Mus musculus: one gene and its partners. The main gene of each other region encodes a partner of the protein of the gene in region 2 in a complex. Links are inferred from orthologs where the notes say so. Each region holds a gene or a part of one and is shown on either strand. Other genes may lie near its edges.

Region 1 (4,297 bases), on a different chromosome or scaffold from region 2:
TGCTCCCTTGTTCAATTCAACACTCATTTTCCTGCTAAAGTCATACCCAGACAGAGAGAGAGAAGTCTACCCTTAATGTCTATCATGACTACACAAACAGTGTGGATACCGCACTTGGGAAAGAAGCCCCTCCAGGCTGAGGGCAGCCGTGGTTGCTAAGGATGTCCAGGGCGCCCGCTTCTGACTGAGAACTGTATGGTTTTTAAATGTTGCTCGTGGATGTAGGTGCTGAGTAAGTGGCAGGTTTCCTACCAGCTCCAACAGCCTGTCATTGACGGGTGAGGTGGGGCCAGGTTAAACCCTGCTCCATCTAGAATCAGTGCGGGAGGGCCGCCACACACCTACAGCTACCACTTTCTTAGCTGGAGAACTGGGGGGGTTTCCCCCTCGGGAAATCACTTCCACGTTCGTTTTTTAAAGCATGGTATATTATTAAAATACACAGCATGTAATTAAGCATCTCTCTAAGTGTATTCCCCTCTCAGGCATGTAAACCTAGGCCCTCTGACAAACCTAACTCATAGCTGCTGGGAAACCTGGAGCTGTCAAATTTCAGGCAAATAAGTTTGGTCAATGAGACCTCAAATGCCCTGTTCCTAGCTAAACACAAACATATGAAGACTATAAACAAAGGAAAATTAAAAGCCAGGTCTAAGAGAAAAATCTCTAAAACACGTGTCTTTCCTCTTAATTGTATACTGGATCAACATATATTTATCCCACTTGCCCTTGCTTCTCCCTTCTCAATTAAAAAAAAAAAAAAAAGATAAGACATTCCATTTTCAGCCTTGAGAAGAAACAGAAATGATGAGGGTGGACAGGCTTACCCAGTTTCCCCATTGCTCTGGCTTATTCCCCCTGAAACCCATCTTTCTAGTCAGCCCCTTGCCTTCTAGTCTTTATGAACACATTATATGTGCACATTTACCTAACTGGATTTCAATATAAAGACCTTGGTTAAGGGAAGGGAACAGCATTGGGAACCATGTGTGATTATGATATTTTGCTCCTGACGATAAGCAAGCCAGGCCCCAAGGTAATGGGTTCTTGGAGCCAGCACATGGAATGCTCCAGATAGCAAAAAAAAGAAAAATGAAAAGAAAAAAACGGGGGGGGGGGGGGTGTCTTCTCAAATCCCAACAATGCAACATTCTTTTCTTACAGAAATGTTTGTGAAGCGGTAACAAATAAACACAAGTGCAGACATTTTTCAGGCCTGTTCCTGCAAAGCAGTTCTTGCTTCCTACCACAATAGCAATAGTTATGTCATGCTAGCTTGTACATGGACCCTGATCGCTTGATTCCGAACACTCTCTCGGAGATAATAATCAATATAGCTCCTATTTGAAAATAGCATTTTCTTGCTAATTTCATGTTAAGGGAGAATGTTGGGTTGTTGTTTTGTTTTGTTTTGTTTTTTTAAACGCGATCAGAGGGAAATTTTCTCTCACTCTTCCCGTTTTTTCTTGGAGCCCAGATGGCAAGATACTAAAATGTCCGTTTTAAACAAAAGGTTTCTGTTTGTTTCCAGGAGAGTAACTGAGAGGCTGCGCTGGTTTCCAGTAGAAACTGCTGTGAATTCAGGCATACATCTGGGTCGCCTCATTAAACAAAAGACACCCGTCTGCTGTCAACAACCACACAGTACAACACTCCCGGATCCTTCATCTTTATCCGGAAGGAATGGTTCATAGAGACGCCTGTCACCATCCACTGGCCATGCAACTCTCTGGGGTCACTCCTGTCAGTGGCCTGGTGGCTACAGTATAGCACATTTGGGCTAGTCTTCCCGCCCCGCCCCTGCCCAGTACGTTAACCCGGGTTTATTGGAGCGCCAGCCAAGGCTTCCTCAGCACCTTTCCTAGCAGAATCCAGACCGGGGTCTGCTCCCCGTTTCCACCCTTCCCTCTCCACCCCACAACGCGCCACAATGGACGCTGGCCGACCACCGCACTGCACGCCATTGCCCACCCGCGCCGCTCGCGCGGACGCTCAGCCGTCCCGCAGACGCTGTGCACCGAGCACGGCCCTAGCTGACACCAAAGGCGCACGCCGCGGATCCGCGCCCGGGAGCCCCGGCCCTCGGCCCCTGGGTGCGCGCGCGCGGGTGCGGGTGCGGGTGCCGGCCGGGGACGCGCGTGGGGAGGGCAGCGGCGAGCCGGGGCGGGGGGTACCGGGGCCCAAGGGCCGCACTCACCCAGCAGCAGCAGCTTGAGCTCCCGGCGGGCGTCGCGCTTGTCCCTGCGCAGCTGCCGCTCGATCTCGTCGTTGATCCTCCGGGCTTCCTTGGCCTCCTCGCTCAGGCAGCACGCCATGATGGACTCCAGAGTCATTCTTCCGAAGTGCCTCGCTGCAGCCCCGCCGGCGCCCTGCTCACACGCGCGCACACACGCCCTCCGCCCTCGCTCCCCCGAGGCAGCGGCGGCCGCGGAGCCCCGCCGCCCGGGCGCGCGTCAGGGACGAGCTCAGGGGAGCCGCGGTAAAGGAGGCGGCCGGGCCCGCAGCCCAGGCGGGCCGGGAACGAGCGGGGCCGGGAGCCTGGGACGCGCGAGGAAAGGCCGCCGCGCCCCGCCGCGCTCACACGCCGCCTTCTCGGAGAGCGCGCGGCCCTCCAGGCGCCGCCGCCGACGCTGCCCAAGGCTGTGCGCCCAGCGGCCCGAGCTCATCCACCGAGGCGGCCCCGCAGCGAGCGACCGCCGACGGCTCAGCGCGCCCGGCGCGCCCGCTCCTCGCCGCCGCCGCCGCCGCCGCCTGACTCGGCTCCGGGCGCCCTCGGCCTGCCCGCGCCCACTCGGCTCGCTCGCAAACCGGGCAGCCGGCCGCCGCGCGCTCCCCGCCTCCGCCCCCGCCTCCGCCGGACGCCCACCCGGCCCGATTGCCAGGCGCGCCGCGGCTGCTCAGTGCTCGCCCTCCCCCTCGCCACACACACACATTTTCTCCTTTCTCTGAACTGGAGCACAGATCCGGGAGGGGGCGGCGGCGGCGGGAGGAGGAGGAGGAGGACGGGCGCAGGGGGCGGGCACAGCGCAAGGGGCGGGACCGCGGCCCCTCCTGGACAGCTCGCGCTCTCCTCGCCCCGCCCCCGACTGCCCGCCCCGCTCGCCGGCCGCCTCCCTCTGTGCGAGCTCCGGCGCGGCGGTCACGGCCGTTGGAGCGGGTCCGGCAGGCGGACACCGACCTTCGGCTGCCGCTGGGCTGCCGGGGCGTGGTCGGCGAGAATATGGCGGCCTCGGCCTGCCCTCTGGCCGCTGGCGCTGCGGGAGCCCTGCCGGGAGCCCACGCGCTGCGCTCCGGGCCTCTCTGCAGCCGGGCTGCCCTTTCCTATTTCTAAAACGCCATTGGGAAGAAGCTGCCTCGAGTGGCCTCTGACCCAAGATCCATCTTAGAAGATGGGATGCTCTTTACTAGGGAAGAGAAAGGATTGTCACTGGCTCTCTGGGGGTTACTGAGGGATCTGTGGACGGAACTGTCCTCCTTATCTCCAGATAGGAATCTGAATCCTAAAGAGAAAAAAAGAAGCTGCCCAAGTTTCCAAGAGCCTCCTGATCCGTTCCAACTTTTCGGGTCACTGAGGTGGTTTCTGTTTTCCTACCAGCACACTACGTTAAACAGTCTGGTAATGTAGGATTGACCCTTCTACACCGTGACAGTTAAGGATGACTTCTGGGAGAACGCCAAGTAGTACAGAATGAAATGAAAGAGACAGATATGGTGGCTCACACCCATAAACTCCACACTCCACAGGCTGAGGCAGGAGAATTGCTTCCTGAGCAGTATGAGACCTTGTAGCAAAGAAAAGGGGGAGGGAGAGAGAATAAAATAGGAGAAAGTGAAGAAACTAGTATCATTGGAGCAAAATTCTATTTGGTTTTTATACTTCTAATTTGAGGTGGTTTACTAATAAATAGAAAATATCTTGTTCATTCAAGGTTGTATTGGGGAAAAAAAAAGGTTCATTCAATTCAGTGTGTCTCAAACATCAAGAGGAGAATCGTACTATTTTTCCTGACTTTATAGATAGAAGTGGGCGCCTCCACATTTCATGCTTTTCATAAACTGCTCCTGTTGATCTGGGCTGCAATGTAAGATCATACCCATTGCTGCAACTTAAGAATGAAACAAGTCTTGGACTTCAAGGTCTCTCCTCTGGTTTGCCTTATTCTCCACCACCACCACCACCACCCCACCCCATCCCCCACCCCCACCCCCACCCCCACCCCCACCCCCCCACCCCCGTGATACACTGCATGCATACATTCAGCCTCTATGCCAGGACTCAGATGGAGTTGTGGACGTA
Region 2 (4,209 bases):
ACCTCAGCTGAGACTCTTCTCTCAGTTTCTGCAAAGACACAGCTACTGTTTGTGTTTCATTTGCATCTCCTTGCAGACCTTCCCTCCTCTGCCTTGCTTTTAAATGCCAGTCTTCTCTTGGGTCCTGTCTCAGCTTCCTTGCTCTCATTTTACACAATATTTTAAAAATATATTTTGCCTATTCCTATGGTTTCCAGTATACCCCTCCCTCTAGTGAAGACTTTTCAAGTCTCTATTTCCAGCTCAGATCTCCAAGGTAAGTTCCAGATCCCAGGATTCAACAGCTTTGGTGAGTAACCATCATTTTTTGAACACTATGGGTTCCAAATTGAGTTTATAATAATCCCTTCTTCCCAAACTGCTTCTGCTCCTTTGTTACTAGGTGCTGAATGCTTGTAGTTGCAGGCAAGTGCTGTCATATGACGTGCATATCCAGCCTCTTCTTGGTTGTCTTTCTGTGATAGGCCATCCACATCCTTTCAGTTTCCTAAACCAGAAACTGGATTTCATCCCTTGACCTCATCCACCCTCTCTGCTTCTAACCAATGTTCAGGGTTTTATTTTTTTGACGACATTTCCAGAAGTGGCTCGTGGATCCATCTTCTCTGCATCTGTACTGCCAGCCCCTCCTTCTGAGCTAGCATCATCTTCCAGCCAGATCTATGTAATGCAATAGTTTTCTAAAGTATCCTTCTGCATTCCATCTCAATCTCAACACCATGCAATTAACTCTGACAGCATACACTATTCCGTGGATCCCAATGCCTCAGGATAAAATCTACACACTATAGCAAGGGCTATAAAGCTCTCCAAATATACTCTAGGCTGGTCTAGCCTAAGTATTATTAGCTACCTTCAATGGTACATGTTCCAGTCATTCAAAAACTGTGTTGTACTGAACAAACATGCTATGGCCTTAAACTTGAAGTTTTTTAGATAGGCTGTCTTCGCCTAAGACATTTTATGCCTCTTCTGCTCAGTCACTTAGCTCTTTGTCTTATTTCCCTACTTGATCGTATCCCTATCTCAGGAAACCTGCCTTCATCCCCAAGGGCAGAGCAGGCTGGAGATGCCCCTCTTGTATATACACTGTCTTTCTTCTCTTCCTGCTGCCACTCCTGGCTTACTTGTCTGTTTCCCCTAGAAACTCGGAGCAGGGCTGTGTCAGTTTTGTTAAACTCGACCCTTGTTGCCTAGCACAGTTTCTGGTTCAATAAACATTTTCTGAATGAAAGAGTCTAAGTGACAGTGGGTAAAAGCCAAACTGAGAAAGCATGAATTGTTTCATAAGCTGAGTAAATATGTAGATTTATAATTTATTTCAATGTTTACATCTTGAACATAGAATCCAACTCCTTCCCTTTCCATTTACTGAACCCAAGCTCCTAGGTTCCACCTCCCACCCCCAGTGAAGTTACCAGACCCCCAATTACTTTGGATGTCCACATCCCAATCAGACCCTCTTGTGGGATTTCCAGGCAGTGATTGTTACCCGTGGTCTCTGTCCCTGTGTACTTGGCTGCAGACTGCTGAGACTGCAGTCTGTGTCTAGTTCATTCCGTGTCCCCAGTGCTAAGCCTAACAAACGTTCATTAAACATTGCAAGCAAATATAGGGATGGGGGGGGCATACATTTAAAGATGTTCATTGAAGCAATGAAGATGCTACTGATGGAAGGAATGAGTCATTTTGAAGCTGGGATGAGGGAAAGCAGTACGAAGGGAAGGTGACACAAAGGAATGGGGTGACTGTTGCCAGGGGAAGTTAGTTCTAGGCAAGTGAGAAAAGGGATATTTGGGGAGCTTTGGAAGGGACTTGGGGACCTTCAGAGAGACAGAGAAAGCACATAGGTGGATGAAGGACCCTGGGAGCAGAGGAGTTTGGGGACAAATGAAACAAGAAAGGTAACTTCCCCCAGTGCCTGCTAAATTCAGATCTGAGAATATTTCATTCGGAAGGTTGGGGTAGAGGGGGATGATTACAACTCTTATTCATGCAGTCCAGAGAGCTTCTACCCTCACCGGCCCAGCCTCCTTCTTTTGCCTTTCTTTCCCTGGTTCCTGCCTCTCCCTCAGTACTGGCTCTGTAAACTGGAAAAGAAAGCTAGACCCTCTGACAAGAAGAGGTCCTTGCTTCCCAGCTGTGTGATGCTTAACTTGAGAATGATCTAGGTAGCTAATGGCAGGGCAAGTATGAGGCCAGGGCTCTGAAGCATGGTGTGAAGGTGTTGGAGTCAGGAGAGCTTGGGAGCCAGTGTGTGGAGGGGAGGGACCTAGGTGGGAGCTGAGGAAGTCCTATCAGGGTAAGCTATGGGCAGCTGACAGTGTAGAGGTCAAAGGGGTTCTCGAATAGTGCTGTGTGGTGCAGTGAGAAGGGCTTAGGGAGGCACCCACCTCTGGTCCCGGTTCCGCGGATACGAGGGGTCTCGCAGCTGAGGTTGCCGGCGCTACTGCTGTTGAGGAGGGAGACACCCGGGCGGCACAAAGAAGACCCTGACCCGGGTCCTGGTCCCTGCAAGCTGCGGTTCAGCTTGAGCAGATCCATGGCTCCTGTGAAGTCCCACTCAGCTCCAACTAAGCTAGCTCCAGCACCGGTTCCACCTGCTCCCGCGGCGCTGCTCGCTCAGGCTCCCGCCCACCACATCGCCAGCCCCTCCTAGTTTCCGCCCCCTGCCCTGGCCCCTACTCCTCCACTCTGCCACCAGCCTTCCCTTAGACCCAGCCGGTCCCAAGCTCTGGGCGGCTTTTGTCCCACCAGGTGACTCTTGGCGCGCCTCCTTGGCTCCAGAGTTCCGTGCGCGCGCTCCTGGGTGACTGCACTCCAGGCAGGCTCGCCCCCGCGCTAGGTTCTCCTTCTCTTAGAAATGTCTTTTCTGCCCACCTCTCATACCAATGTCCCCAGTTCTGGAAATTCGTGTGTGTGTGTGTGTGTGTGTTTACACGTGCGCCTGCTGGAGGGGATGGTGTGATGGGGTAGCTGCTGTGCGGTCCAGCATCTTTCTTTGGTGGTTTAGAAGACGTGGTGATGGCGGTGGTGATCCGGTTTGAGTCCCAGGGTCCCCGCTACAGAGCAGGTGCCTTAGTTTGTCTGGAGCCGCAGTTACCGAGTTCTGCCGCAGTGGCCGCAGTGATAACCACAGTATCAGCTACCTTAGCTCTTTCGTGAAGGCTAGCTTCTGCCTTTGTACATCCCACCTCCTATCTGAAACCCCAAACCCAGGCCTTTTCTTCAAAGACTCGGAGGGTCCTGGAGGGCCGCAGTTGCTCACAATGGAGACTGTACAAGGAAAAGGGCTAGAGTGGACTAGGGCACTGGGGGCGGCGGGGAATTGAGGTGAGAAATGCACTAAATGAACTGAGTTGAGGTGTGGTAAGGGTTCTAGTTCTGGCCCTGACTAGGGTGAAAGATAGGGAGCAGGCAGCTTGGTCATCTACCTAGTCTCTAGGCAGCGTCCACCCCCACCTGAAACGATGATGCTCCATTTGCCCTCAGCACGGATACAGCAAGGGAGTAGGGTGCTGGGTTCCCATGAGAGGGGATCAGAAAAGGACTGGGTCACTGGAGTGTGGCGGGGGCGGGGTAGGGGTTGGACAAAACTGAAGGCGCCAATGAAGTGGATTCCGCTTCCTGAGGCAGGACTGGCCTCCTCTACTTTGTGGCCTTGTTTCGACCAGTGTCATCCATTCCAAAGAAATTCTAGTGTGATGTGAAATATCTTTTGGGATCCCAAAGTGGCTGTCAGAGGTTGGGGGGGGGGGGTGGAGACAGAGGAAGAGAGAATTAGAGTGGGGGTGGGGTAGTCTAGATACATGGGGAATTCGGATTCAGTATCCTGACTGTTTTGGAAAGGACCTGATCAGTCAGCATTGAGTTCATAAGGACTGCAGAGCTGGAGGAGGGGCTAAGCCTGGGATGTCATCACCCCCTCCCTCCACTGTCACCTCTGCTTGTCTGAGAGCCCGGGATCAGAGGAACCTGGTGTTTGCTCAGCTCCAGCACAGGTGGCATCTCTGATAATCCGATGAGCTTTTCCCACATTGGATGACGGTAGCACTGAGAAACACGGGGACAAAGGGAATGTAGGGGGGAGAGAGAGGGACATGGATGTAGCTTACACTCACTTATCCAGAAAACTATGTATCCAGGTATTAATTATGGGACTTTTGTGCCACCCTTTCATGCAATGAGTCTGTCCATGAAGAACTCCCA
Region 3 (4,424 bases), on a different chromosome or scaffold from region 2:
ACACGCGCTTTGTCCAGGTAGTGCTGTTCTCACAGGAGGCTGTGTCCAACTCTTTTTTTTTTAAACATTTATTTATTATTATATGTAAGTACACTGTAGCTGTCTTCAGACACCCCAGAAGAGGGTCTCAGATCTCATTATAGATGGTTGTGAGCCACCATGTGGTTGCTGGGATTTGAACTCGGGACCTGCGGAAGAGCAGTCAATGCTCTTAACCGCTGAGCCATCCCTCCCGCCCCCCATTTATTTATTATTACATGTAAGTACACTGTAGCTGTCTTCAGACACACCAGAAGAAGGTGTCAGATCTCATTAAGGATGGTTGTGAGCCACCATGTGGGTACTGGGATTTGAACTCAGGATCTCCAGAAGAGCAGTCGGCACTCTTAACCGCTGAGTCATCTCTCCAGCCCTGTGACCAACTCTTAATGGCAGTGTCCTTCTCTGGCTTTAGTCTGGGGCCACTCAGAACACCTTGCACACTTCAATCGTCCAATCAAAGTTGGTGGGTCATAGGCCCCTCTTAAAAAGCAGATCACAAAGATTGGAAATAGCTCCACTTCCACCTTTGCACAGCCACAGGATCACAGCCACTACCCAGAAGAGACATGGAACTGAAGAAGCCTCTAGAAGCTGACAGAGGATGGAAGGAACAGATTATAGGATCATGGCAACGTTTGTTTCCTTAAGTCCAATGACAACTCTCTCTTGTCTATCTCTCCTAGAGTCCAGTCTCATTGGTCTCTGGTTGAAGCCCCGGATTGCTGCCTGCAGGAGAAAGGTTCCCAACCTATCAGGCAAAAGGACGACGTTTAGATGACAGAAGATAGTCCACTCAAAGGTGTAAAGGCGGCAGTGAACTCTTTTTGTTTTTAATGTGGTGCAACCTACACAGAAGAGGAGGGGGCGCTGCTTTAAAGAAAATCGAGGTCCAGAAAGAGATCATGTGACCCTCCGCAGAGTTTAGTAGATCTCCAAATAAGTTTATAGGCTCAGTTTTAGCAAGTGAAGAAGACACACCTCCTCCATCTTACTCTCATAATTCACAAATGCTCAGAGTCCTGGTTTCTATTTGGCCTGTGGCGAGGGCAGGTAGTCCTGACCCTTGGGCTACTAGATCAACTAGTCCTACAGTCCAGAAACAGAGCCTCAGGCTCTCAGCATCCAATCGGAGACTAGCTCCTCCTGCAGCCCGCCCAGAGGCCTAAGCCTGTGTTAGCTCTACCCTTGGTGTCTTCCCTCGTTGCGGCCCCGCTCTCAGCTTGCGCCTAAGGCTGGACTGAGCCTAACTTCTCCCTTGGCTCCGCCCTCCAACCAATCACCATCCCTAAATTTCCTTCGGCCCCTCCTCCAGACCCGCCCCGGCCCAGTCGCGGGCTTGGTTCGCCCGGGCCCCACCCCTGGCCCGCCCCGCCGTCGGTGCGCGGCGGCCGGGAAGGCGCCTCCCGCAGTCGCTCGGAACTGCGGACCTGAGAGCTTCCCGCAGAGGGCCGGCGGTGGGAGCGGAGTGGGTCGGGCGGGGCCGAGCCGGGCCGTGGGCCGTGTGGGGGCCAGGCCGGGCCGGCGGACGGCAGGATGGGCTGCACCGTGAGCGCCGAGGACAAGGCGGCAGCCGAGCGCTCTAAAATGATCGACAAGAACCTGCGGGAGGACGGCGAGAAGGCGGCGCGGGAGGTGAAGTTGCTTCTGTTAGGTGAGGCAGCGCCCCGTTCTGGGACCCTTGACTCTCTACGCTAATCCCCAGACAAGGACCTGAAACTGCTCAGCCTGGCCTTGCACCCTACACCTGCGCTTGAAACCAGTAGGAGCCACCCTTTTAAGATCCGAAACTCTGGATTGGTCTAGATTTATAATCCTAGTCCAGACTTCATTCAGACCCTCAACTCATCCCAGATCCCACACACCAAACCTTGTATGACTATCTCCCCCCCCCCTTGTTATCCAGTCTCAAGAGAACTCAGACCCTGCCGTGTATTTCCGCACTTTCTCAGGCTTTTCTTAAACCCTCAGCACCCTGCCGGCTCCCACCTTCAAGCCCCACCTGTTCTATTTCTCTTGGCACGAGCATTCCTTGGGACCCTGGTCAAGCCTCGACCCACTCCCTCTTTTCCTTACTCTGGGATCTGTATTCTCCCTCTTTGCACTCTGACCCTTCAAGAACCTCTTTAAGAGGGAAACTGACTACTCTCAAGTTCTCTGTAGCAGGATTCCCCGCAGGGCCTCTGTTCCAGGTCACCAGATCTCTCTTTCTCTCTGTGTGTGTGTGTCTCTCTCTCTCTCTCTGTCTCTCTCCCTCCCTCTCTCTGCAGGTATCAACCCCCAAATCATCTGCCCCTCTTTTAAGGCTTTTCTCACACTCTGCCGTTCCCTTGCTTCTGCGCCCTCCTGCCCCAGGTGGGCCTTGTTGATAGGAGGAGGGGCACCAGGGGCTGGGGTGGGCCTAGGCTGAGCTGGGCAGACCCTTTGCAAGAGGTTGGTCTGACTCTGAGAGTCACACTGGGAAACAGGGGCCAGGCCTCTAGCATTTGCGGGAAGTTCCATTCCCTGGGATCCAAGGCTTGTCTGGGCCAGGGCCAGGGGAGTCTGGGCAATAGGAGGGAACATGGAGGAGTTAGGGTTGTTGTCACTTCCAAGGCCAAGGAAGATGGTGGCTGCTGGGATGGGGGGGAAGTGGAAGTAGTGAACCAACCGACATATTGCTGCCCCTGTGTGCCGGCCTGGAGAGATCTGCTGACGGCTGCTGGGCTTCTCACACTCGGGGCTGGAACGCCAGGGATATGGCCTAGGATACTGAGTAGACCTGTTGGTTCCCCAGAGGAATACTGTGATGTGGGGGTGGTGGGCAAGCTGAATGAGGGGCTGGTAAGGAGTCTGCTGCCTGTAGCCCCGTGTGCGCTCAAGCATCCCAGCTAGGCTTTGGCAGAGGCAGTGGGCCTGATGCTTGTGTCCAGACCCACACCGGTCGTCAGAGTGGCTCCCTGTGGAAGCCTGACTTGAGAAGACCAGTTCCTCTGGATTGTGGGGAGCAAGGCCCTAGCAGCAGCAGAAGCCGCGCAGCAGCGTAATCGGCTGGATAGTATGTGGGGGGGTGTGGCCCCTCAGCCCCAGGGCCGCCTTGGGGGCCTGCATGCTGTGAAAAGCCTGGCTTTTTTTATTTTTTATTTTTTGGCCAGGCCTGTGGCCGAGAAACATGTACGTCTTTATGGATCCATCTGTTGACTGTCCCGGCGGACCCGGCCTGGGGGCACAGCCCCGGAGGTTTCAAAATGGCATCCGCTCCACTGCTGCCGCGGGGAGGAAGAGAAGGGGCGGGAAGGGGCGGCGGCCCAGCCTCCTGGGCTGCTTTGCGTTGGGCGCTTGCCTCTTCCTGTCTCTGCTGCGAGTGCGGCGAGCAGTGAGTGGGTGTCGACGCGGCGGCGGCAGCGGCAGCGGCGGAATGTCCGTTGCTGCTGGGCCTAGGGAGGGCACTTCCGGGACCGCTACCTCCCAGTGCCCAGCCCGGAGCCCCTTACCAACCCCTCCCAGGTTTATTGGCAGTTATTGTGGTGGCCAAGGAGATGTGGATCTGGACCAGAGAGCAGGGGGAAGGGGGCTGCACAGGACGCCTGGCCTGTTCTGTAACACACGGTTTCCTCTATGCAGACAGGCTTGTCCCTTAGAGCTCAGCTCAGCTTTTGGGCCCGGCTAGGCGATACCTGGTATCCTTTCCTACCCTAGGCTGGCAGTAGCCAGTGATATAGGGTCTGGCTTAGCACTTTCTCACACAACAGTCCATCCCAGGATCCTGTCCCTCTGGCCTTTTCTTCCTCTAAAATGGAATTCCTGCCTTGTGTCAGCGGAGTACCCGCGGTGAGACTAAGACCCTGCAAAGGGTGTGCAGCCAAGGGCTCAGAGCTCTGTCTGAAATGGACAACCCAGTCTTCATGACCAGTCTGTCACTGCTACCTGGGAAGGGATCTTGACTTGAGCTAATCAACTCCCCATCAAGGAATAAGGTGACAACAGGACCCCAGCTGTAGCAGGTTAGGGATTCTGGGCACCAGTTCTACATAGCCGGAGACTCTGTCCAGGCAACGGGGACTTAAACTGGGAAAGTGCCAATCTTCCCTCCCAGCCAGAACCACGCCTGCTGCCCCACCCGCCGCACAATGTCTCCCTCCATACCCTGTATCCCTGCCAGAAGGCGGGCACAGTCACTGTCACCAGGGCAGAGGCAGATGTGGTACACTCTAGCAAGATAGTTTCCCCTGGCAGCTTGGTCAGGCAAGTAGAGAAGCTGATACCAGTCTCCCTGCAGGGCAACCCCCTAGACACCTCCCACACACACACACACTTTAACCAGACAGACTAGCTAGGCCCAGATAGATTTGGGGGGCTCTGGTGACAACCTGAGCTGGACACATCACGAGAAACAGTGTCCACCA

Evidence for each region. Proteins that work in one complex are often made in the same cells at the same time.
Region 1: the proteins of Cckbr (region 2) and Gnaq are in contact, whole or in part, in a cryo-EM structure (PDB 7F8W), measured with the Homo sapiens proteins. The link is inferred for Mus musculus from reciprocal best matches to the Homo sapiens genes CCKBR and GNAQ. Residues at the interface, in NP_795344.1 of Homo sapiens: Thr87, Val88, Thr89, Asn90, Glu151, Arg152, Ala155, Ile156, Pro159, Leu160, Ala162, Arg163, Val164, Trp165, Gln166, Thr167, Ile241, Leu245, Gly248, Leu249, Val331, Leu335, His394, Arg396, Phe397; in NP_002063.2 of Homo sapiens: Arg30, Arg34, Asp35, Arg37, Arg38, Leu40, Ser198, Val199, Phe341, Lys345, Asp346, Ile348, Leu349, Gln350, Asn352, Leu353, Lys354, Glu355, Tyr356, Asn357, Leu358, Val359.
Region 3: the proteins of Cckbr (region 2) and Gnai2 are in contact, whole or in part, in a cryo-EM structure (PDB 7F8V), measured with the Homo sapiens proteins. The link is inferred for Mus musculus from reciprocal best matches to the Homo sapiens genes CCKBR and GNAI2. Residues at the interface, in NP_795344.1 of Homo sapiens: Thr87, Thr89, Arg152, Ala155, Ile156, Pro159, Leu160, Ala162, Arg163, Val164, Thr167, Ser169, Ile241, Gly248, Leu249, Lys328, Val331, Leu335, His394, Arg396; in NP_002061.1 of Homo sapiens: Glu28, Ala31, Arg32, Glu33, Val34, Lys193, Leu195, Thr220, Phe337, Thr341, Asp342, Ile344, Ile345, Asn348, Leu349, Lys350, Asp351, Cys352, Gly353, Leu354, Phe355.

Annotation. Positions count from the first base shown.
Region 1 is NC_000085.6:16,131,362-16,135,658, reverse strand, and holds the start of Gnaq (guanine nucleotide-binding protein G(q) subunit alpha), read right to left. Parts: upstream 2,976-4,297; 5' UTR 2,334-2,975; coding exon 2,198-2,333; intron 1-2,197.
Region 2 is NC_000073.6:105,424,360-105,428,568, reverse strand, and holds the start of Cckbr (gastrin/cholecystokinin type B receptor), read right to left. Parts: upstream 2,839-4,209; 5' UTR 2,545-2,838; coding exon 2,394-2,544; intron 1-2,393. UniProt on the Homo sapiens protein: Receptor for gastrin and cholecystokinin. The CCK-B receptors occur throughout the central nervous system where they modulate anxiety, analgesia, arousal, and neuroleptic activity.
Region 3 is NC_000075.6:107,632,369-107,636,792, reverse strand, and holds the start of Gnai2 (guanine nucleotide-binding protein G(i) subunit alpha-2), read left to right. Parts: upstream 1-1,449; 5' UTR 1,450-1,575; coding exon 1,576-1,693; intron 1,694-4,424. UniProt on the Homo sapiens protein: Guanine nucleotide-binding proteins (G proteins) are involved as modulators or transducers in various transmembrane signaling systems.